Arabidopsis thaliana: one gene and its partners. The protein of the gene in region 1 interacts with the protein of each later gene in a pairwise test. Each region holds a gene or a part of one and is shown in the gene's direction. Other genes may lie near its edges.

Region 1 (6,884 bases):
ACGAAGTGTTCGTCGATCCGAGGAACACGACGACGTATCTCGTTCCAGCTATGAAGAATGTTCAAAGCTCTCTCGTCAAGTTCAATCTCGACAAATCCATTAAGATCTCGTCGCCGATTGCTTTAAGCGCGTTGGCGAGTTCGTATCCACCGTCGGCTGGTTCGTTTAAACCGGAGTTAATCGAACCGGTTATTAAACCGATGCTTGATCTCCTCCGCAAAACGTCGTCGCATCTTATGGTGAATGCTTATCCTTTCTTTGCTTACGCAGCTAACGCCGATAAGATCTCGTTGGATTACGCGTTGTTTAAGGAGAACGCCGGGAATGTTGATTCCGGTAACGGTTTGAAGTATAACAGTCTCTTAGACGCTCAGATCGACGCCGTTTTCGCCGCAATGTCCGCCGTTGGATTTAACGACGTTAAGCTTGTGGTGACAGAGACAGGCTGGCCTTCTGCCGGAGACGAGAACGAGATTGGTGCTGGTTCGGCTAACGCGGCGGCGTATAACGGCGGGTTAGTTAAAAGAGTGTTGACGGGAAACGGAACGCCGTTAAAACCGAAGGAGCCACTAAACGTTTATCTGTTCGCTCTGTTTAACGAGAATCAGAAAACGGGTCCGACTTCTGAGAGAAACTACGGGTTGTTTTACCCAAACGAGAACAAAGTGTATGACGTTTCGCTCAACGGTAAGTCAACGCCGGTCAACGATAACAAAGAGAAGGTTGTTCCGGTGAAACCGTCGCTCGTGGGACAGACGTGGTGTGTGGCGAATGGTAAAACGACGAAGGAGAAGCTTCAGGAAGGTCTCGACTACGCTTGTGGCGAAGGAGGTGCTGATTGCCGTCCGATTCAACCGGGTGCCACGTGTTATAATCCTGAATCGTTAGAAGCTCACGCTTCCTACGCGTTCAACAGTTACTATCAGAAGAACGCACGTGGAGTTGGCACGTGTAATTTTGGTGGTGCAGCGTACGTGGTCTCGCAACCTCCTAGTAAGTACCCTATCTTTCCTCTCCAAAATTTTATTTTGATTAGTAAGTATTTTGCATATACAGTATAGTTATTTTCACGTTCTTAATAGTTGGAAGATGGTTAGATAATAATTATGGGAGTTGGGATGGTTTAACAACAAATGTTATTTTTTTGGGCTTCACTTACGTATACAGATTTATAATTAAATTGTGACGTATAGACGGAAACGTAAACTAAATTAATTATTTTTTGTTGGTTATGTGTTTGTAGAGTATGGGAAATGCGAGTTTCCAACAGGGCATTGAAATGGATATAGAGAAGAAGAGGATCGTGCGGATTTATTTACGTTATTTATTTTGATACATTGTTCTTTTGTCATTCGAGTATATGATTTGCGTATATTTATTTTTATTATTGTATATTTGGTTGGTTTCATCGGATAAATAGTCAGATTTTCTTTCCCCCTTAAGCCTTAACTTCTTTGCTCGTGAGTTTATAAAACTGACAAAACTTTGTTGATATAAACCATTATATCCTGCAACTGATCCAATAAACAACATTGCAATATTATTTTCAAAATCTCAAATTGATTCGTTTTGCTGGTGATCAACTGATCATGATCCAAGCAAAACTCAACAGTATATATTGTCCATATTGTTTCATTCCAATACTCCAGAGTCAAAACCTTGAGCTGCCTACTTCATCAAACTTGATTAGCGCCTACCATCAATTGAGCTACGACTACACTACCAACTCCCATATAGAAGCCTGTAACTCGAAAAATGGGTTTTGAGTTATAGTTTGTCACAAAGCTCTGTGAATACATTATACTACATGAAAACTCATCAAGTCTTTTGATATGGAATCTTCAGAACCAAGAATAGCTTTAATGCTTTTATAGTTGTGAAGTCTGTTATTATTCTATTACTGAATGTGTATTCTCCTCCAGAAATATCTAAGATCTTAGATGAGTCAGTTTAGACGTTTTAAATAGCAAGAATGTTCTGCTTTTTTATGTCATTTTAAAAAGCTTAAGGTTTTGGATTGTAAGCATCGTGTGGTTGCTAATCGAACTTCCTTCCCTTTGCATTATTGAGATAGTGTACTCGCAAAACACGGTGGCAATTTAACCAAAACATAGTACAAACACGGTTTCAAAATTTTAAAAACAAAACCATATACAGTACTTGATTACCATCCCAAGACTTACATATTCTTAGATGGACTATGAGTCTATGGCTTTTTCTTCAACTACTACCAACTTGAACTTCTCCTCCAAACCAATTAAGTGGGCTTTCAATTGGTCATGCCTTCTTTCCATATCACGAGTTTCTTCTAGCCAGCGGGAGTGATTTGATGGAAAGGTGGTCGCATTCGTGGAGTATGCTTTTGTAAGTCTTGATTGGAAAAGCTGTAAACAATGCTCTTTCTGAAATATTGAGGGCTAGCTTTGGATCGCGCCATCGCGGCTAACTCTTGGCAACACCAATGGCTTCCTTGTGTCTTCTTCCATCAAAGCGTGTTCCTTTCATTAATTACATTCTCTTTTGTGGCCTTCTATTATATTGTTGCGTAGTTTTCAGTCTTTTATTTCTCTTCGTTGTATCTCCGTGTTATGTAAAAAATCTAAAATTTCGTATAAAACTTTAAATTTTACCAAAAAAATAATTAAAAACAGACAAATTCTTTAGAAATAAAATCTAACACCTTTTATATTTTCTTCATAAACAATTGAACCAAAAAAAAAAACTCAAATCCAACTCCTCTCCCCTATAAAACTCTATCTTATTGATGATTTTGCTCAAAATGTAGTAGTAATAACAATGACGAGGCCTATGATGGATCAGGATTCAGGAGAGCATTTTGGGCCGGATCCGGATCCGGATCCGGATCTGAGCCTGGATCCAATTCTAGATTACCGGGTTTGAGTATCTGCGTCATTCCTAAGCTCACTATACTCTCTGTTTAAAAAAACCTATCTCTCTCTCTCTCTCTCGCCGCCTTCCTCTCACCCTCTTCGCATAGCTTCACTTTCGCCGATGGTAAAATTATCTCTCCTTCTTTGCGTTGATCTACTTATCTCTCGATCCTACTTTGAAATTCTTAGGGTTTAACATTATATTCGATCTCGCGTGATCTGTTGATTTTGTCTCATCGTTATTTTGACATAATTGTCAGGCTCTACCTAACCAGCAAACCGTGGATTACCCTAGCTTCAAGCTCGTTATCGTTGGCGATGGAGGCACAGGTACCCAATCCCTAGCTTCATCTTTCTTTTGTTTTAGAAATATATACAGAGAATTGATTTAGTTCTATTTCAGAAACTCGATTTTGGATCAAATTGCTTTGATATAGTTCAGTTTTGATTAGTATGCTGCTTTGACTTAGTTTGTCTGTCTAGAGCTTAGTATCTGTATGTATAAGTGATCTTGATCCGTCGTAGTTCAATTCTGAGATTGTTCCAAATTGTTTCAGTAGTTGGATGCATTTGGCTATGTTATCAAGTAACCTCTGATTAAATGTTGGTTTGGTTCACAGGGAAGACCACATTTGTAAAGAGACATCTTACTGGAGAGTTTGAGAAGAAGTATGAACGTAAGTACTCTCGCAAGCAAGCCCCATCCTGAAATATATCACTTGTCATTAACCTTTTTTATTCTCACAAAAGATTCTCATGTGTTCTTGTGTTTTTGCAGCCACTATTGGTGTTGAGGTTCATCCTCTTGATTTCTTCACTAACTGTGGCAAGATCCGTTTCTACTGTTGGGATACTGCTGGCCAAGAGAAATTTGGTGGTCTTAGGGATGGTTACTAGTAAGTACTTTCTTCTCATACAAATCACTTAAAACCGACCTTGTTAATAATCTAGAATCATCTACTGTCATGCTATAATCTAGAATCTTCTAGTGTTGGAAGCTTGGTTATGGTTTGAAGCTCAATAAGATGATTGTAGCTAGCAACATGAAAAACTATTGATAACTGTTGCAAATAGTTTGTGTTTGATACAATAATGTGTTCTGTTTTGTTGCAGCATCCATGGACAATGTGCTATCATCATGTTTGATGTCACAGCACGACTGACATACAAGAATGTTCCAACATGGCACCGTGATCTTTGCAGGTATGATGAACTCACTCACAGAAACTAGCATTTGTTGTATGTGGCAAATTGCTAAACAGAAAATGTCATCAAATTTCATGGTGCAGGGTTTGTGAAAACATCCCAATTGTTCTTTGTGGGAATAAAGTTGATGTGAAGAACAGGCAAGTCAAGGCCAAGCAGGTAACATTCCACAGGAAGAAGAACCTCCAGTATTACGAGATATCTGCCAAGAGCAACTACAACTTCGAGAAGCCATTCTTGTACCTTGCTAGAAAGCTCGCCGGGTAAGAAACAATTCATCAATTCAACCCTCATTGTAGTTATTGTGAAACAACGGAAAAATGAAAATTGAGATGTTGCTTGTTTGTCTCAGGGACGCTAATCTTCACTTTGTGGAATCACCTGCCCTTGCTCCCCCGGAAGTTCAAATCGACTTGGCTGCTCAGCAGCAGTAAGTTCTCTAAAACTAATTTTGTTTTAATTTGTTGCTAAGGTTTGAGTTCGAGGCTTTTCTTCAATTAACGATTATATATTTGTAGGCATGAGGCGGAGCTTGCAGCAGCAGCAAGTCAGCCACTTCCTGATGACGATGATGACACCTTCGAGTAGAGAAAGAGAGATGTGATCTGTCACTGATTACCCGTTAGGGCTTGTCTGAACTTTTTTTTGTTCATGGTGCTATTTTTATGTGTCCGTACTTTGAAATGAATCGATGACATTAGTAATTTTCATTTTTAAGTTTTTAACTGTCGCTATGAAAGTGAAAACCTTTTGATTACAAACCTTACATGCTTCACAATTTCAATTGTATCTCTATTAATCCTAGCCGCGCAATCTCATCAATTCTCCACACCCAACACACTTAATAGTTTTTTTTTACATCAATCATTTCGAAACCACAAGTTCTTAGATACTCAACAACATTTTTTTTTTTTTTTCTGTAGCCAATCGATGTTCTAAAGATCAAGAATGTTGTATTATTTCTACCACTTATGGAGTCACCAAGGATATGTGAAGGGTTTTCTTTGTTTATATATTTTTTTAATTGCGTTTTAGGACATCTCCAATAGAAGTATCTAAATGTAGATACTGATCTCTATCAAAACAGATTATGGATATCATACTAGAGTACATTAAAAATTTGCTTCTAAGATTTTGAGTTCTTGGAGTCATTAACGCATCGCTAAGGGTATTTTCGTAACTTTAAATAACCCCAAATAATATTTTGCTTCCTCCCCAAGAACCTTTTTGCCTCTTTCTACTTCCGTCGGCCGGATTCAGAGTCATAAATAAATATATAAAAAAAAGTTTCGATTTTTGCTTTTCTTCTTCGATTCATTGCGCGAATCATCCGTGATGTTGGTGTCTAGGGTTTTATCAAGAGTTTCTCGCAGCGCAGGCTTACGCTCGTCTTTCTCCTCCGTCGTTACTCCGAAGAGGAATCAGATTCCGATTGTTGCAAGCCGATTTCACTCCCTCGTTCACGGAACCCCCAACAAGGTTAGGCTTTTAAGCTGATTTTACTTGTAATTCGTTCTGGATTTTATCGTCGGGTTTATGCTAGGGTTTAAGGGGTTTGTCTAAACAAAAGATTGTTATGTTCTGATTCTATTGCTCTGGTCTTCTTTATTACAGTGTCACGAATTTAATTGTGTATGTCTGAATGTTAATGTTTTGATTGCTCTTTCATATGTCTTAATTTGGATGTGAAATTCTGGCAATCCTTGTGAATTTGAAAGCTGAGATAAAGCTCATTCTAGGATTTGTGTACAGTGAATTTACTTAATTTGGATCATTTTTTTTAATGGCAGCTTGTTGCAGTTCCAGTGTCGCTCCGAAACCATGGAACTCTAGATTTGAATGTTCTTCAAAGGTTCGGCTTTTTTTCCTCTTCCTCAGCTGAACCGAAGGGAAATGAGAGTAACACCGAAGTACCAAAGACCGGCGAAACTTCTGAGAATGTGGAGGTGGGGAAAGCTACAGGTGAGGCAAAAGATTCATGTATTTTGACTTAGAATAAAGAGAGATTACTGTGTCTAATACTGAACGAGTTTCTTTTTCTGAGTTCCAGATGCAGAGATTGACTTCGACGATTTGTCAAGAGACGATTTAGTGAAGCTTGTGAGTGAGAAGGAAGATCTTTTGAAGGTTCAGCAGAAAGACATAATGGAAATGAAAGATAAATTTCTTCGCACTTATGCTGAGCAGCAGAATCTTATGGACAGGACTAACCGTAATGCTGAAAGCGCCAAAAAGTTCGCTGTACAGGTTTACTTCTCTACTCCGCGAATCCTTTTTCTTCTTTCTTGTATTAACTCGTTTTGCTTTGTGTATAATCCAGTGCTGAATATGTTTTGTTGTGCTGCAGAACTTTGCAACGAGCCTTTTGGATGTGGCGGATAATCTTGAAAGAGCTTCTTCTGTTGTCAAAGAGAGTTTTTCGAAGATCGACACTTCAAAAGATTTGGCTGGTGCTACTCCACTGTTAAAAAACCTATTAGAAGGAGTGGAGATGACTGAGAAACAATTAGCTGAGGTAAAAACGTCCATTATATATATCTTTTGAGGTAAACAATGATAATAAGACTGGTGCTGAGAATGCAATTTTGTATGTAAAACTGCAGGTGTTTAGAAAAGCTGGTTTGGTGAAAGAAGATCCTTTAAATGAACCGTTTAATCCAAACAGACATAACGCAGTGTTCCAAGTCCCAGATGCTTCCAAGCCAAAAGGCACAATTGCTCATGTCCTAAAGGTACTAAACTATTCAAAGGATTGCTCTCTTTCTTGCTTTAACTCTTAAGCCTATG
Region 2 (6,923 bases), on another chromosome or scaffold:
TTTGACCAAACTTCAATCGTAGTTTCAAAACACTAAATTGATATGTTATCAAAACTTTGATCTTTCTACCACTACCAACCCACTATAAATCCCAAGAAAGATACTATTGTAGTGATCTGGCTATTAACCATCCCAAGATTAATTCCCAACCAACGATCTCCTCAATTAAAAGTTAAAACCCTATCTTTTATTTTCTACCTTCCATCTTCAACTCGATCTCCGTGATATCTTTGGATAACGTTTTTGAGTAAATTCTTGTGCTTCCTTCATGATCCCAACCAAACAAAGAATAAAAACTAATATAATATTTTCACTATGCGTGGAGGTTGATCAAGCACGTCAATTCCCAATATGTGTGTTCAGACAACTCGTTAATATGTCAAAGAACGTGAGCCAACCGCTTCATGCCACGTAAGTTTCCAAATGGACCCCCATTTTTAAAACCCAACCCCTTTCGGCAACCTCTTCCTTCATCTCCAACCCCTTTGACAACTCCGATAATTTATTCGGATATCATCTACTTCGCGTATATATTCTGTTACTGTACACCCTCACCTTCTTTATGTTAATTGTTTGACGAATATAAATTAATTTATGTCCATTGCTTATGATTGGCTAAGACATGGTTTGGATTCATGAATCCTTGATAATGATTTGTACGTACGTCGACTACCGTATATTCCATGTCTGATCATGTCTTCAGGTCAACCAAATAGAAACATACCAGAAATAAGTCAATAAATCAAGCGTTCCAAATCTATAGGCACGTTTTTGTTCATTTGTCTTCTCCACGATCGGTGATCCGATCACTTAAGTAAAGAGACGATTTTTTAAATGTTGAGGTTATAAAAACGAAAACGATTGCGTGAAGCTAGAGGGTGTGTGTGATTTTATCTTTGCTGAGTAAAATATTAGCGGACAAGATCAAACCGCAACTTGAGTCTTGGTGGATAAGGATTAAGGAGACAGGGCAAGTGCATTGTTTCTTAAAAACATCCCAAGAACTTCTCCAAGTGTCATTAGGAGTGACATAAAACATTTTCTTCTAATTTCTAAAATGATCCTTTTTCTGATTTATTTGTTCTCTTTTCAAAACGACTAATCATTCCATAAAAGTAAAAAATTTGTAAGGATTAAGTCTAGATTTCAATAGATGTATATATAATTAAAATTGTTAAAATCCAAACCGACCATCGAACATGGTATAATTTGTTCAAAAATCTAATGATAGACTCGAAAGTTTGTGTTGTACATGACATATCCACGTGGGAAATTTTACAAAGATGAGACTTTACAAATCGAAAAGACAAGTGTACAAGAATAGTCCATGTCAGAAACAAAAAAAATTGCAACTTTATTTCACGTTCACATTTTCTGTTTTGCAGTTCCAAAACACGCATATAAATAGCTTCGTGTTGCACAAGTACGACATATGAAAGTTGGCACACATGGAGAAACAGAGCATCAGAAACACTTGTTCTTCTTCTTTAATGTTATCCTCACCATCTTCTTTTTGGGTTCGTGGTGCGTGTATCGGCAGAGGTTGTTTCGGTGCAGTTAGTACGGCGATCAGCAAAACCAACGGTGAAGTTTTCGCCGTGAAATCCGTGGATCTCGCCACGAGTCTCCCCACTCAATCAGAGTCTCTCGAGAACGAAATATCTGTCTTCCGCTCGCTAAAGCCTCACCCTTACATCGTGAAGTTTCTCGGCGACGGAGTCTCGAAAGAAGGAACGACGACGTTTAGGAATCTCTACTTAGAGTATCTCCCAAACGGTGACGTGGCTAGTCACAGAGCCGGAGGAAAAATCGAAGACGAGACTCTGCTCCAGCGTTACACGGCGTGTCTTGTCTCTGCTCTCCGCCACGTACACTCTCAAGGATTCGTTCACTGCGACGTCAAGGCGAGGAACATCCTCGTCAGCCAAAGCTCCATGGTCAAGTTAGCCGATTTTGGGTCGGCGTTCAGAATCCACACACCGAGGGCTCTGATCACGCCACGTGGAAGTCCGCTTTGGATGGCTCCGGAGGTGATCAGACGAGAGTACCAAGGTCCGGAGAGTGACGTCTGGTCTCTCGGCTGCACGATCATCGAGATGTTCACTGGGAAACCCGCTTGGGAAGACCACGGAATTGACTCGCTGAGTCGAATCAGTTTCTCTGACGAGTTACCGGTTTTCCCCTCGAAGTTGTCGGAAATCGGCCGTGATTTCCTAGAAAAGTGTCTGAAGCGAGACCCGAATCAGAGGTGGAGTTGCGATCAGCTTTTGCAGCATCCATTTCTCTCTCAGTGTCACAACTCATCTCCGACTGAGTCATCTCCGCGTTGCGTACTTGACTGGGTCAACTCGGGGTTTGACTTAGAAGAAGAAGAAGAGGAAGTAGGGAGATCAGAATTCGAAGACGCGGCGAAGGCAATAATTTGTAATTTGGCGACGACCGGAGGAGTAATTTGGGAGTCAGATGGTTGGGTGGAAGTTAGATGCCACGCTTCGGAAGAGGAAGGGACAACAATGGAATATTCGGGATCCACAAGGGTAGAATCGGAATATAACACATCATCGGATCCAAACGATGACGTGGCTGGTGACTCGGCGATAATTGACGTTTCTATGTCTCAGAATTTACCGCCTGGAAACGGGGGATCGGCGGCGGCGCTGCCATATGAATTTGTGGTGGTTTTACATTTATTAATGGAAATTATGGTTTATACTACATGTATCTTTAGGGAAATTGTTCTCACTATGTATTTGTTGTATCAGTATAATCAAAGCAATAAACTCGAAACGTTGTCTTTTAATCACAGCCTCAAGTTTTGTTTGTTTGCACATGTGATTCGGATCGGACAAAACTATCTTTTACGCGGTGAGATGAGATCGAGTGTCTTAATTACGAGCCATTGCCTTATATTGATAACTCTCGTTTACAGCCAAATAGTTGTATTTTAATGTGAAAAAATATTGCGACAAATGGTTTTGGTTCGTAAGCTGGTGGAAGACTCAAGAGGCCAAAAGAGACTTTGGTTTTATGCTTTAGAAGACTTTTGATTCATCCTAATAAGTATTCGGATTTTGGAGCATTTAAATGAATCATAGAGGGAACCGGACCGGTTGAAGATGGTTGTTTGTTTCGACTAGGCCTGAAGGACCAAGGTTATGCATGTACGATTATGTATCAAACTGAACGAAGTCGTTACATAGAGTTTAGCTCAAGCATATCATCATATTCTTTTTTCGATCTTTAAGATTTTTCTCTAATCTCTATGCTATAAATCATTAAGATTTCTCTAAAAAAGGATTAATTTCCCTTGAGATAAATAGCTTTAAAAATAACCCAGATACAATGGGTTTATATGGGCCATATATATTTTTTGTCATAAGAAATCGGCCCATAGTTAGCTTCAATTCAACGCCGTATAACTATGAGTCGTTCCGATTTCCTGTGTTGCGAAACCCCCAAATTCTCTTCTCTCTATCTCTCTCGCGTACGCCGCACCGTAGCGACCAATTGAATCCACGAGGAAATCTCAGTAAATACTATGGCGACCAACGAACCCGAGCACGAGCACAGAGACGAGGAAGAGGCCGGAGCTAACGAGGATGAGGACACCGGAGCTCAGGTCGCTCCGATCGTTAGGCTTGAGGAGGTTGCCGTCACTACCGGCGAGGAAGACGAAGATGCCGTCCTTGATCTGTAAGTGTTTTTCTTAATTGGTGTTTATAGTTTTTCTGATCTAGGTCAACTGGATCTGATCGAATTTATAAGGTTTAGCTTTTGGTGTGTTTGACTGAATTTTTGTTTGTGAATCTAAAGGAAATCGAAGCTTTATCGATTCGATAAGGATGCGAATCAGTGGAAGGAGAGAGGAGCTGGTACTGTGAAGTTCTTAAAGCATAAGAACACTGGGAAGATTCGTCTCGTTATGAGGCAATCTAAAACTTTGAAGATCTGTGCTAATCACTTCGGTATAATTTCTATTTGGACTACTTTGTGTTGTTTTTGAGTTGCATCTGGATCTGTATTTAGGTTACTGTTTCCTTATCTAGTCTTATGCTTCTGATATTTCTGCAGTTAAATCGGGCATGAGTGTTCAGGAACACGTTGGGAATGAAAAGTCATGTGTGTGGCACGCTCGTGACTTTGCTGATGGTGAACTCAAGGATGAGCTTTTCTGTATCCGATTTGCTTCTATTGAGAGTGAGTATGAAACCGAATTTTGTAATGGCTTGTGTTTTGCCTTATTTAGTCTCAGTTGGTTTGATAGATTCACGGATTAGATTACTGATGGATCTTGACCTTAGCATTGCTATATGGCTACTTTGTTAATTGGAGGTTCTCAAAGCTTCCATCATAGGCATGCGTTATTGGGTTCAGGAAATATCAAAATAAGTACTGTGGCGGTTAGGTTGTGGTATTGCATTGTAAAGAGATAATATTGTTCTTGAGGTGGTCAAGTATGTATTTAGGCTGCAACTAATTTGATATGCCAACATGGTCGACTGTTTCTTTTTTTATTTTGGGTAAATATTATCAGTAGTTTCTGAGCTGTTGATCATATTAACCGGGAAAAGTAGAGATGCTTGTGGGTAATCAAATCTTATTTTCCTTGTCAGATTGCAAAACATTTATGCAAAAGTTCAAGGAAGTTGCTGAGTCTGAAGAAGAGAAAGAAGAGAGCAAAGATGCCGCTGACACTGCTGGCCTTCTTGAGAAATTGACTGTGGAAGAGACAAAAACGGAGGAGAAAACCGAAGCGAAAGCTGTGGAGACGGCAAAGACTGAAGTGAAAGCAGAAGAAAAGAAAGAGAGCGAGGCAGAGAAATCTGGTGAAGCAAAGAAAACAGAAGAAAGTGGTCCCTCAACATAAGAAGCGTCATCATTTAAGTTGCCAAATCCTGGCGAGGTAATTAAGCCTCGAAATGTTTTGATGCATCATGAGTCTACCATTGTCTTGGCACTATCTATCTATACATGTTTTGTCGAGTCATATCAAGTGGTTGGGGGATCGCTTGGGGTCGGGTTTTACTGAATGCTGAGTCGTTATGGGTCTAATAGTTTTTGAGTCTAAAGTGTCGGGTGATATGAGAGATTTGGGTGAAATATTTTTTCATGTTGGTTATCTGAAAGAGTACATTGGTTTCATTGTTTTAAGTTTTCTCATGGATCCTTTTTGGATGGTCTTATTTTGAGGATACAAATGTGTTTGTCCATGGACAAGAATCAGAAGTCTCCATTTTTTTTTTTTCAAAATTTAATGCATGTGATTTTTTAATCTTAAGGTAATTGCCAATTGTTTGACAAAAAAAAGGTAATTGCCAATCTACTTTGCTCTCTTGTGTTAGTCGATGCTAGTCTTGACCCTGATAAAGATCCAAAATGTATATTAACAGTATTCATAAAATTCTTCAGTTATAACGAACTGTTCACGGAAAAAAAATGACATTGTACTATACTGTGCTAAAATTACCAAAGCATGATTTATATAAATCATATCCAGTAAGACCATATGTGAATGAATAACAATGGATTATGCTTAGGTTAAGATTTTATTAAATTTATAACACTTTTAAAATAAATTTGGAATAATACAAACATATAAACCATTCCTATAACACCATATTTAAACATAACAATGAATTGCTTGGATTTCAAACTTTATTAAATTTGGATTTTAAATTTTAATTTGATTGAATTATACCCCCTTAATTGGATAAATTCAAATATGTCAACTTTTTTTTTTTGTAAGATTTTTTTATGGAAAAAAAAATTGATTATTCACTAAAAAGATGACAGGTTACTTATAATTTAATATATGTAAACCCTAAAAAGAAGAAAATAGTTTCTGTTTTCACTTTAGGTCTTATTATCTAAACTTCTTTAAGAAAATCGCAATAAATTGGTTTGAGTTCTAACTTTAAACACATTAATATTTGTGTGCTATTTAAAAAATAATTTACAAAAAAAAAAACAAATTGACAGAAAATATCAGGTTTTGTAATAAGATATTTCCTGATAAATATTTAGGGAATATAACATATCAAAAGATTCAAATTCTGAAAATCAAGAATGGTAGACATGTGAAAGTTGTCATCAATATGGTCCACTTTTCTTTGCTCTATAACCCAAAATTGACCCTGACAGTCAACTTGTACACGCGGCCAAACCTTTTTATAATCATGCTATTTATTTCCTTCATTTTTATTCTATTTGCTATCTAACTGATTTTTCATTAACATGATACCAGAAATGAATTTAGATGGATTAATTCTTTTCCATCCACGACATCTGGAAACACTTATCTCCTAATTAACCTTACTTTTTTTTTAGTTTGTGTGCTCCTTCATAAAATCTATATTGTTTAAAACAAAGGTCAATAAATATAAATATGGATAAGTATAATAAATCTTTATTGGATATTTCTTTTTTTAAAAAAGAAATAAATCTTTTTTGGATATTTTCGTGGCAGCATCATAATGAGAGACTACGTCGAAACTGCTGGCAACCACTTTTGCCGCGTTTAATTTCTTTCTGAGGCTTATATAAATAGATCAAAGGGGAAAGTGAGATATAATACAGACAAAACAAGAGAAAAGATAAAGAAAATGGGTTTGAGAAGAACATGGTTGGTTTTGTACATTCTCTTCATCTTTCATCTTCAGCACAATCTTCCTTCCGTGAGCTCACGACCTTCCTCAGTCGATACAAACCACGAGACTCTCCCTTTTAGTGTTTCAAAGCCAGACGTTGTTGTGTTTGAAGGAAAGGCTCGGGAATTAGCTGTCGTTATCAAAAAAGGAGGAGGTGGAGGAGGTGGAGGACGCGGAGGCGGTGGAGCACGAAGCGGCGGTAGGAGCAGGGGAGGAGGAGGTGGCAGCAGTAGTAGCCGCAGCCGTGACTGGAAACGCGGCGGAGGGGTGGTTCCG
Region 3 (9,310 bases), 680 kb from region 1:
TCAGCTTGCACAGTCTATAATCTTTGGTTTGATCTTCGCTTACCTTCTCGCTAAGCTAATCTCTATCCTCCTCGCTTTTAAAGACGAGAATCTCTCACTCACTCGTAACCACACGACTCAATCGGAGTATGAGAACTTGCGAAAGGTCGAAACTTTAACTGGGATTAGCGGCGAGACTGATTCTCTTATAGCTGAGCAAGGTAGCTTGAGAGGTGATGAAGATGAATCAGATGATGATGATTGGGAAGGTGTCGAAAGTACAGAACTTGATGAGGCATTTAGTGCTGCTACGGCTTTTGTTGCTGCTGCTGCATCGGATAGGCTTTCGCAGAAAGTTTCTAATGAGTTGCAACTTCAGCTTTATGGATTGTATAAAATTGCTACTGAAGGACCTTGTACTGCTCCTCAACCATCAGCTCTTAAAATGACTGCTCGTGCCAAGTGGTTTGTCTAACACTCTTATTGATTCTCTGATTCAAATGTTTGGGACTGTGAAAGATGATTGCTTGATCATGTTTACTTGTGATGTACTGATGTTTCTTGATCATGGATGTATATTATTTTGATTTCACCAAGTTCGTATCTTTCATTGCTAATGTATGGAAAGGATTGCTTTTGTTGGTGTATTGATTAGTGATCTGATTCAAATCTTATGACTGTGAAGATTGTTACTTAATCATGTTTACTTGTGATGTACTGATTATTCTTCATCCTGGATGTATCTTGCTTTGTGTGAGTACCGAAAGGATTTGCTTTTGTTGTTTTGTTGATTGGTAACTTAGGGATGCATTTTGATCGACTGAGATTTGTTATGATCTTTTTTGTTCTAGGCAAGCATGGCAGAAATTGGGTGCTATGCCTCCTGAGGAAGCGATGGAGAAGTATATCGACCTTGTTACTCAGCTTTACCCAGCTTGGGTTGAAGGTGGCTCGGTTAGTTGTCTTCTTACCTGCTTCTGTTATTCCCATTTCTTTGGACTGTTTATGGATGGTCTGTTTTCGTTCTTAAATCTGTCTTTATTTCTTGGCTTGTTTGCTTCGTTGCGGACTATTAGAAACGAAGAAATCGGAGTGGTGAGGCTGCAGGCCCCATGGGACCGGTTTTTAGCTCATTGGTGTACGAAGAGGAATCTGACAATGAGTTGTAAGGTTCCTAAGCAATTAGTTACAGATTCATCTATGAACTTTTGGTTTTCTTTTCTCAGTTTCTCTATATGACTAGCTGACTAGATCAGAGAAGGAATGTATATATCATAATACTCACCTTAGGTAGATCAAAGAATCATGTGTTAGTTTAAATCATAGTAGAAGCTCTGTTCATTCTTGCGTTCTTACTCCATGTTCCAGGAAGATTGACGCCATACACGCCTTTGCTAGAGAAGGAGAAGTCGAGAATCTATTGAAATGCATAGAAAATGGCATACCCGTAAATGCAAGAGGTTAGTAGTCTTGTATCATTTTCACAGAATGTTCGGATCTGGTTTGGAAACTTAACAGTTTCTCCATCTTGGAAATGTCAGATAGTGAAGGTCGAACACCACTGCATTGGGCTATAGACCGTGGCCATCTTAACGTTGCTGAAGCTCTGGTTGATAAGAACGCAGATGTGAATGCTAAAGTAAATAAATAACCAAAACCCCCTAAACTAATTCTTTCTCTCAATTACAGACTTTTATGTTTTTGTCGCTGACAAACTTTGTGCAGGACAATGAAGGCCAAACCTCTCTACACTATGCTGTTGTGTGCGAAAGAGAAGCACTCGCCGAGTTTCTGGTGAAGCAGAAAGCTGATACAACCATTAAAGACGAAGACGGAAACTCGCCTCTTGATCTCTGTGAATCAGAATGGTCTTGGATGCGAGAGAAGAAGGATTCCAATTAGTGTTTTTTAAGTCTTTAAAATTGTGTGTCAAAGCTAGATGCTTGTGTTTTTCTTACATTTCCTCTGAGCCTCTTTGCTTCCTCTTAAGCTTATGTTTTAACATACAACAACACAAGTTACATATGATATAGTAGCTCTAGTTTTTATTGGTTACTATATTGAACCCAGAGAGATCATCATCATCAATCATCATAACTCAATAATAGTTTTTTTTTTGTTAGTATAATGTTTCTCTCTTTCGTTCGTGACCCTTTCATGTTTTTTCAGCCATCTGAATCATTATTATCATACCTGTAAAACAATTTTGTTGATTACTTGTAAAATTTATAAGTATTTTAAATATGATACAAATTGTACCTTCGGAATAAGAAAAGAAAAAAAATCTTCTTCTTCGCATCTCGCTGTAAAACAATCCGGACCGTTGATTAATTAACGATGAGAATATATAAGGTGGGGTTCAGATAAGGACCACCCAACACGCGATGTACGACATAATCACTCCAGATTATATCAATTCTTTAATCAGAAATATATTTTTAGTGTGCAAAAATCATAAAGAAAAATATTTTCCCTTTTTATATATATATTGGGTAATTCAGATTTTTTTCTATTTATGTTTTTATTTGAAAAAAATAAGATACACTGAACAAACAATTATGATTGGAAACAAATTTTCATATTTAGAAGATTTATACAACTTTTTTTTAATTGGGTAATTTTAAAAGATATTTTCCTATATATAGTTTTTATAAAAATATTAGGATACACTGAACAAAACCTAAATATACAATTGAGTACAAATATATATAAGTTTGGAAAACAATTTCAAAATTAATAGATTTACATAATTTGTGTTCAAAACAGTTTTTTTATTTGTTTATATAAATATTTGGTTAAAAGTTTAATAATAAAATTTAAAGTCCATCTTCACATCCGATTCTTCTCTTCTCTTCTCTCTCTCTCTTCCCTTTTTCGCTGGAACTGATTTTTTTCTTCTCTCTCTCTCTCTCTCTTCCTTCTGGGCTTCTAGGGTTTGTCCTCTCCAGTCCCCGATTTCCGCTTTATCCGATCGGCCGCCGCCGAGATTCTAGGTTACCCTTCTTCACTTCATCTATTCAACTTTCTCCCTAAGATCCATCTTCAGATTCATCACTTCCCAATTCGCTTTTTTTTTTTCCTGATTCGATCTCGATTCGTTCAATCATCCATTTCCAACTTTAGTTTCGATTTGTTCACTGTTTTATGATTTGAACTCGTTCGTAATCTGAGATTTGCTTTTCGATTTTTTAGTTAGATTCATTTGTTCTATTAACTTGTTGATTTGGTCATCTTAGTAACTAGTTTGATTTCGTGTTTTATATTCGATTTCGTGCTCGGATCTGTTGTTCTGGCTGTTATAGTTGAATCTGACAGTGTTTTTAAGCGTCAATGGCTCGTGCTTTGATCTCTTATTGCTATTACATGGTTTTTTCGATTCATAGTGATTTAGTAGTCTTTCACCTTTATGGCTTTTTGGATCGTTGACGAGTTTCTTCATGTTGTTGGCTTAATTTACTGATTCTGTCTTACTTCTTCTTTATTTTCAGTTTTGCTGAATCTGTTTGTTTCTGTTGCAGATAAACCTATGGCAATGGAGGTTACGCAGTTGCTCATTAATGCTCAGTCGATTGATGGAACTGTACGTAAGCACGCGGAAGAAAGTCTTAAGCAGTTTCAGGAGCAAAACCTTGCGGGTTTCTTGTTGTCGCTTGCTGGAGAGCTTGCGAATGATGAGAAGCCAGTAGATAGCAGGAAATTAGCTGGTTTAGTCCTTAAAAATGCTCTTGATGCTAAGGAACAACACAGGAAGTATGAGCTTGTTCAGAGATGGTTGGCTCTAGACATGTCAACAAAGTCGCAGATCAGAGCTTTCTTGTTGAAGACACTGTCGGCACCTGTGCCTGATGTTCGTTCGACTGCATCTCAGGTCATTGCTAAGGTTGCAGGTATTGAGTTACCACAGAAGCAGTGGCCTGAGCTCATAGTGTCTCTTCTCTCAAATATTCACCAGTTACCTGCTCATGTCAAGCAAGCCACTTTGGAGACTCTTGGATACCTATGTGAAGAAGTGTCACCTGATGTTGTTGAACAGGAGCATGTAAATAAGATACTCACAGCTGTTGTTCAGGGTATGAATGCTGCTGAAGGTAATACTGATGTTAGACTTGCTGCAACCCGTGCTTTATACATGGCTCTCGGATTCGCCCAAGCAAATTTCAACAACGACATGGAGCGTGATTATATCATGAGAGTTGTGTGTGAAGCAACCCTGTCCCCTGAGGTGAAAATTAGGCAGGCAGCTTTTGAGTGTTTGGTATCTATCGCTTCCACATACTATGAGAAGTTGGCGCATTACATGCAAGATATATTCAACATCACAGCTAAGGCTGTAAGAGAAGATGACGAGTCTGTTGCTCTACAGGCAATTGAGTTCTGGAGTTCTATTTGTGACGAAGAGATTGACATCTTAGAAGAATATGGTGGTGAGTTCGCTGGGGATTCTGATGTTCCATGCTTTTATTTTACTAAGCAGGCTCTCCCTGGTCTTGTGCCTCTACTGCTGGAGACTCTTCTGAAGCAAGAAGAAGATCAAGATTTGGATGAAGGGGCTTGGAATATTGCAATGGCAGGTGGGACATGCCTCGGTTTGGTTGCTAGGGCAGTTGGAGATGACATTGTTCCACATGTCATGCCGTTTATTGAAGAGAAAATATCAAAGCCTGATTGGAGAGAGCGAGAAGCTGCAACTTATGCTTTTGGTTCCATTTTGGAAGGCCCTTCTGCCGATAAGTTGATGGCAATTGTTAACGCAGCGTTAACATTTATGCTCAATGCTCTAACAAATGACCCAAGCAACCATGTGAAAGACACAACCGCATGGACCCTTGGTCGGATATTTGAGTTCCTTCATGGTTCAACAATCGAGACACCTATTATTAATCAGGCAAACTGCCAGCAGATAATCACAGTACTCATCCAGAGCATGAATGATGCGCCTAATGTTGCCGAGAAGGCTTGTGGGGCTCTGTACTTCCTTGCTCAAGGCTATGAGGATATCGGTCCCAGTTCTCCGTTAACACCCTTCTTCCAGGAAATTATTAAGTCACTTTTAGCTGTTGCACACAGAGAGGATGCAACTGAATCACGCTTGCGGACTGCAGCATATGAGGCATTGAATGAAGTTGTCAGGTGTTCAACTGATGAAACGTCTACCATGGTTCTGCAATTAGTACCAGTGATAATGATGGAGCTTCACAATACTTTGGAAGGGGAAAAGCTTTCATTGGATGAGAGGGAGAAACAAAACGAGTTGCAGGGACTTCTATGTGGATGCTTGCAGGTCATCATACAGAAATTAGGATCTGAACCAACCAAGTCTAAGTTCATGGAGTATGCAGACCAAATGATGGGACTTTTCCTGAGGGTGTTTGGTTGTAGAAGTGCAACTGCACATGAGGAAGCCATGCTTGCCATTGGTGCTCTTGCTTATGCAGCAGGTCCCAATTTTGCCAAATACATGCCTGAGTTTTATAAGTACTTGGAGATGGGTCTTCAAAACTTTGAAGAATACCAAGTGTGTGCTGTTACTGTTGGTGTTGTTGGGGATGTCTGCAGAGCATTGGAGGACAAGATTTTACCTTATTGCGATGGGATTATGACACAGCTTCTGAAAGATTTGTCGAGCAACCAATTGCACCGATCAGTGAAGCCACCGATATTCTCCTGTTTTGGTGACATAGCACTTGCTATCGGTGAGGATTTTGATAAGTACTGGAGGTATTCAATGCCGATGCTTCAGAGTGCCGCAGAGTTATCTGCTCACTCGGCTGGAGCTGATGATGAAATGACGGAGTACACAAACTCATTGAGAAACGGAATCCTTGAGGCTTATTCAGGCATATTTCAAGGTTTCAAGAACTCCGCCAAAACCCAGCTCCTGATTCCTTTCGCACCCCATATCCTCCAGTTTTTGGACAGTATATACATGGAGAAAGACATGTAAGTTTGGTTACGACCCAACTGAATTTCTATTATGTCATAGCAGTTGTTTAATTTTGTGGTAAAATTGCCTTGGGACAGGGACGAGGTGGTGATGAAGACAGCGATTGGGGTCTTAGGAGATTTAGCAGATACACTAGGGAGTCATGTGGGTGGTTTGATACAACAGTCAGTGTCAAGTAAAGAGTTCTTAAACGAATGTTTGTCTTCTGAAGACCACACAATTAAAGAAGCAGCCGAATGGGCGAAGCATGCCATAACCCGTGCCATATCTGTTTGAAGGCTCTTCTTTTGCCTATAAGAAAGAAAATTCCTTTTGCTTTTTAGTAAAGTCTGCATGCATCTCTGGGTGGGTTGAGTCGGTCGGGGGGAGGGGTAGAGCTGCAACATCCGAGTCACATCAGCATCATCAGCATCAGTTTCATTTGCATCATCAGCATAACTGGGGTCAGTCAGGGAATCGTTGAGTCGTGGATGTGGGGAATGATGAGTTTTGGGGTAAATAATGAAACTGGAAGAGTCACGGGTGAAAGTTTCCCGGGTAAGGTTAAATCCCCGGGAGTAGAAAGAGGAGGAAGTGAGTCATGGTCGTTTTCTGGTGGGTTTTGGGACAAAGTTATACCAAAAAAAAAAAGGTTTCATGGAACATCTCATAATACATTCTTGTTTTTTCTTTTCTCTCATATGTTCTTCAACCCCTTGAGGAGGGAGAGGTCTCAGGTTTTTATCAAGTGGGGGCATTATTAGAGGACAATCCCTTGATTTTTTCTTTTGTTTTCTTTTATTATTTGGTTAGTTGCAGTCTTTGCATCATCATTTTGTCTTTTGGGGGGGTTTGTATGTTTGATTAAAAGCATTATTCACATTTTTATTTTTATATAAAGAAGTTTCACATGTCTGTCTATCTTCTCTTTGCTATGATGCAGTTTAGGGGGTTTTGCATATATACTTGTGTTTTGTTTGCAATCAAGTTTCAAATGTCACATACAGGAACATTTTTATTATATGGTGTCATGTCTTAGGGTCTTAAAGAGGTCCACATCTATTCATTTTACTATGGAACTGTTTACAATCGTTTAGAATCCATTATTTGATTTGGCTCGAACTATATGGGAAAGGGCACATGTTAATAGGAGAAAACGTCCTGCCTTACTCTGCTTCCAAAGAGTCAAGTTAAGAGATCGAAGAACATTTCACATTCACGCTGTTTATGGAAACCTCAATTTTGATTGTATGTGTTGCTTTTTTTTGGTTTTCCAAACGCCAAATGCAACTGATACCGAACCTATATTTTGAAAAATGTTTTCATGTGTATTTGAAACATTCTAGACCATTCAAGTTATGGTTTAAATTAGTTTCTCTCGGTTCTATGTATTAGTCCCAAACCATGTTTCTGACGTCTCGAGAATTTTTCTCTTGAACTAAATATATAATGTCATAATTCATTCGACATATCTTTTTCGAATTGATGATTTAGGCGAGAGAAACGTTGGTTCTGTTGGTATTTTTTTTTTTTTCATTGTGATGACATACCCATTTAAATCTCACTCAAATGGACAATAAAACACATAAAAGATAGATGATGGCTAAACATCCAAGAGAAATAGGACACGCCACTCTGAATTGAAATTGGGAGTTGAAAAAGAATGGTGGTAATACGAAGTGGGCCTTTTTTATTGTCAAAGGACTTGTCCAAGCACACCCACATATATCACATACACTGATACACACACAAAAAAAAAAAACATTTTTGTCGTCCGCGACGATTTTTTTCATATTCAAATAATTTCATTACGGCGTTAATACTTTATTTTGCGACTTTAAACTTTACCTTTAGTCTTTAAATGCAATACTGAAATAGCACCGAAAGATATATGAGCGTCGTCAGCTGAAACTGCCAAAAAAAGGAGAAAATCTTACGATCCAAGTTATTAGTCAAAAGAAACATAATTATTGATTAAAGCATGAACTTCTTGCGACAAAAAATAACTCCAATTTTTCTTTCAATAGCTATTATCTAACACATTTTACCTTAAGGTTACGGATCAATACATTTTTAAAAATAATAATGATTAGTAAATACTTTCTTAGAAGATGAACGCCATTAAAGAAAACTCTGAAAAAAAAAAAAAAACGGATGTTTTTTAAGAAAATTAATTCGTTTAGTAGGACAACGAAAACCTAATATATAAGCTAATTTAATGGATAAAAACTAGAACTTTGGTTCAAACTACATTTATAGATCTAACTATGCGTTCTCATTGCCTGATGGCTTTCATTTTTTGATGTTGTTCCTTCTAATGTTGATACGCTCTTAAGCGATGATGTTATTGGGTATGTGCGCCTAAGGCAAGTAAGTTTGTAATTTTTCTTATAATTTTTAGTCTCCCGTCTTCTACAGAAAAAAAAACTACACTTATGAGATGAATTGTATATTAAAAATTTAAAACGAAGGAAATATTTAAGAAAAGTAGTGAAATTATTAGTTGTGGGTGTCTCGTGATTTATTATTCGCGTTGTAAACTATGTTAGTATTGAAATTGTGTTTTTGTTCTCTTTTTTTTTTAACTAATAGACGTACGTTTTTTTTTTGTCAAAGACTAATAGATGTACGTTTCGTCGTCTTTCTGTGTAGTTGACATTGGACAACAGAAGTTAAGACTTAAGACACGTACGTTGTTGCCCAATAAAACATTGCTAATTTAGTGGCTCATTGGTTTCTTATTCATCACTCCTTTTAAACGCAACATATAATTGCCGACACATTGATTATTTCCCTACTCACGAACTTTCCCTTTTTTTTTTTTTTTTTTGTGAAGTCATGCATAGTCTTCGGACAGAAGAGCTGCACGTACATGTGTTAACTGTTAAGTGAATAATGTTTTAGATAGTACAACGATTCTACTTAAGCAGTTTAGCTGGTTTAATGTACGTGTAGTCTATATTAGTTTTTATCATATTCAGATGCTGAAAAAGAATCTGTTTCATTTTATTTTTTATAGAAAACTGCAGATATTTACTTGGAGGTTGTGAGAAAACATTTTAAGATGGAAATAATTAACCAGTTAAGAAAGTTGAAGTGCGAAACCATTTTTTTATATGAAAGGATCTATAGAGGGGATTTATAAAGTCTTCTAATCTAAAATATATGGGTTATGGTGCAATACACACACACATATATATAAGTATAACCATTCATATGGTGACTTTTTGGGGGTAAAAGTTCTTTAGTTTTTGGGATTTAGTAGAATTATGGATTTTAGGTCAAAACACATAATGTTATGAGGAACGATGTTTATTAATTGTAAAATAAGATTTTGGGGGATAGTGGTCTCTCACTATAATAATGGGTCACTTAAAAAGATGCACTTCTCTGATACATTTTGCAGGC

The links.
Region 2: the proteins of RAN3 (region 1) and SIRANBP interact in a two-hybrid assay, tested with the Arabidopsis thaliana proteins (2 studies listed by BioGRID).
Region 3: the proteins of RAN3 (region 1) and AT5G53480 interact in a two-hybrid assay, tested with the Arabidopsis thaliana proteins (one study listed by BioGRID).

What each region holds. Positions count from the first base shown.
Region 1 is NC_003076.8:22,389,273-22,396,156, forward strand, and holds RAN3 (RAN GTPase 3), read left to right. Parts: upstream 1-2,790; 5' UTR 2,791-3,012; coding exon 3,013-3,015; intron 3,016-3,151; coding exon 3,152-3,221; intron 3,222-3,511; coding exon 3,512-3,568; intron 3,569-3,669; coding exon 3,670-3,787; intron 3,788-4,004; coding exon 4,005-4,094; intron 4,095-4,180; coding exon 4,181-4,360; intron 4,361-4,449; coding exon 4,450-4,527; intron 4,528-4,615; coding exon 4,616-4,685; 3' UTR 4,686-4,913; downstream 4,914-6,884. Other genes in the region: AT5G55180 (O-Glycosyl hydrolases family 17 protein), read left to right, coding at 1-997, 1,244-1,289; MGE1 (Co-chaperone GrpE family protein), read left to right, coding at 5,433-5,576, 5,888-6,059, 6,148-6,344, 6,445-6,612, 6,701-6,829. UniProt on the Arabidopsis thaliana protein: GTP-binding protein involved in nucleocytoplasmic transport. Required for the import of protein into the nucleus and also for RNA export. Involved in chromatin condensation and control of cell cycle.
Region 2 is NC_003070.9:2,190,304-2,197,226, reverse strand, and holds SIRANBP (Pleckstrin homology (PH) domain superfamily protein), read left to right. Parts: upstream 1-3,390; 5' UTR 3,391-3,538; coding exon 3,539-3,693; intron 3,694-3,813; coding exon 3,814-3,965; intron 3,966-4,071; coding exon 4,072-4,197; intron 4,198-4,613; coding exon 4,614-4,867; 3' UTR 4,868-5,548; downstream 5,549-6,923. Other genes in the region: MAPKKK13 (mitogen-activated protein kinase kinase kinase 13), read left to right, coding at 1,449-2,948; AT1G07135 (glycine-rich protein), read left to right, coding at 6,603-6,923.
Region 3 is NC_003076.8:21,710,511-21,719,820, forward strand, and holds AT5G53480 (ARM repeat superfamily protein), read left to right. Parts: upstream 1-2,734; 5' UTR 2,735-2,972; intron 2,973-3,497; 5' UTR 3,498-3,505; coding exon 3,506-5,919; intron 5,920-6,000; coding exon 6,001-6,199; 3' UTR 6,200-7,368; downstream 7,369-9,310. Other genes in the region: ACBP1 (acyl-CoA binding protein 1), read left to right, coding at 1-444, 831-933, 1,056-1,144, 1,348-1,439, 1,521-1,618, 1,705-1,881. UniProt on the Arabidopsis thaliana protein: Acts as a negative effector of drought tolerance. Involved in the regulation of stomatal closure and in the abscisic acid (ABA)-mediated pathway that lead to drought tolerance.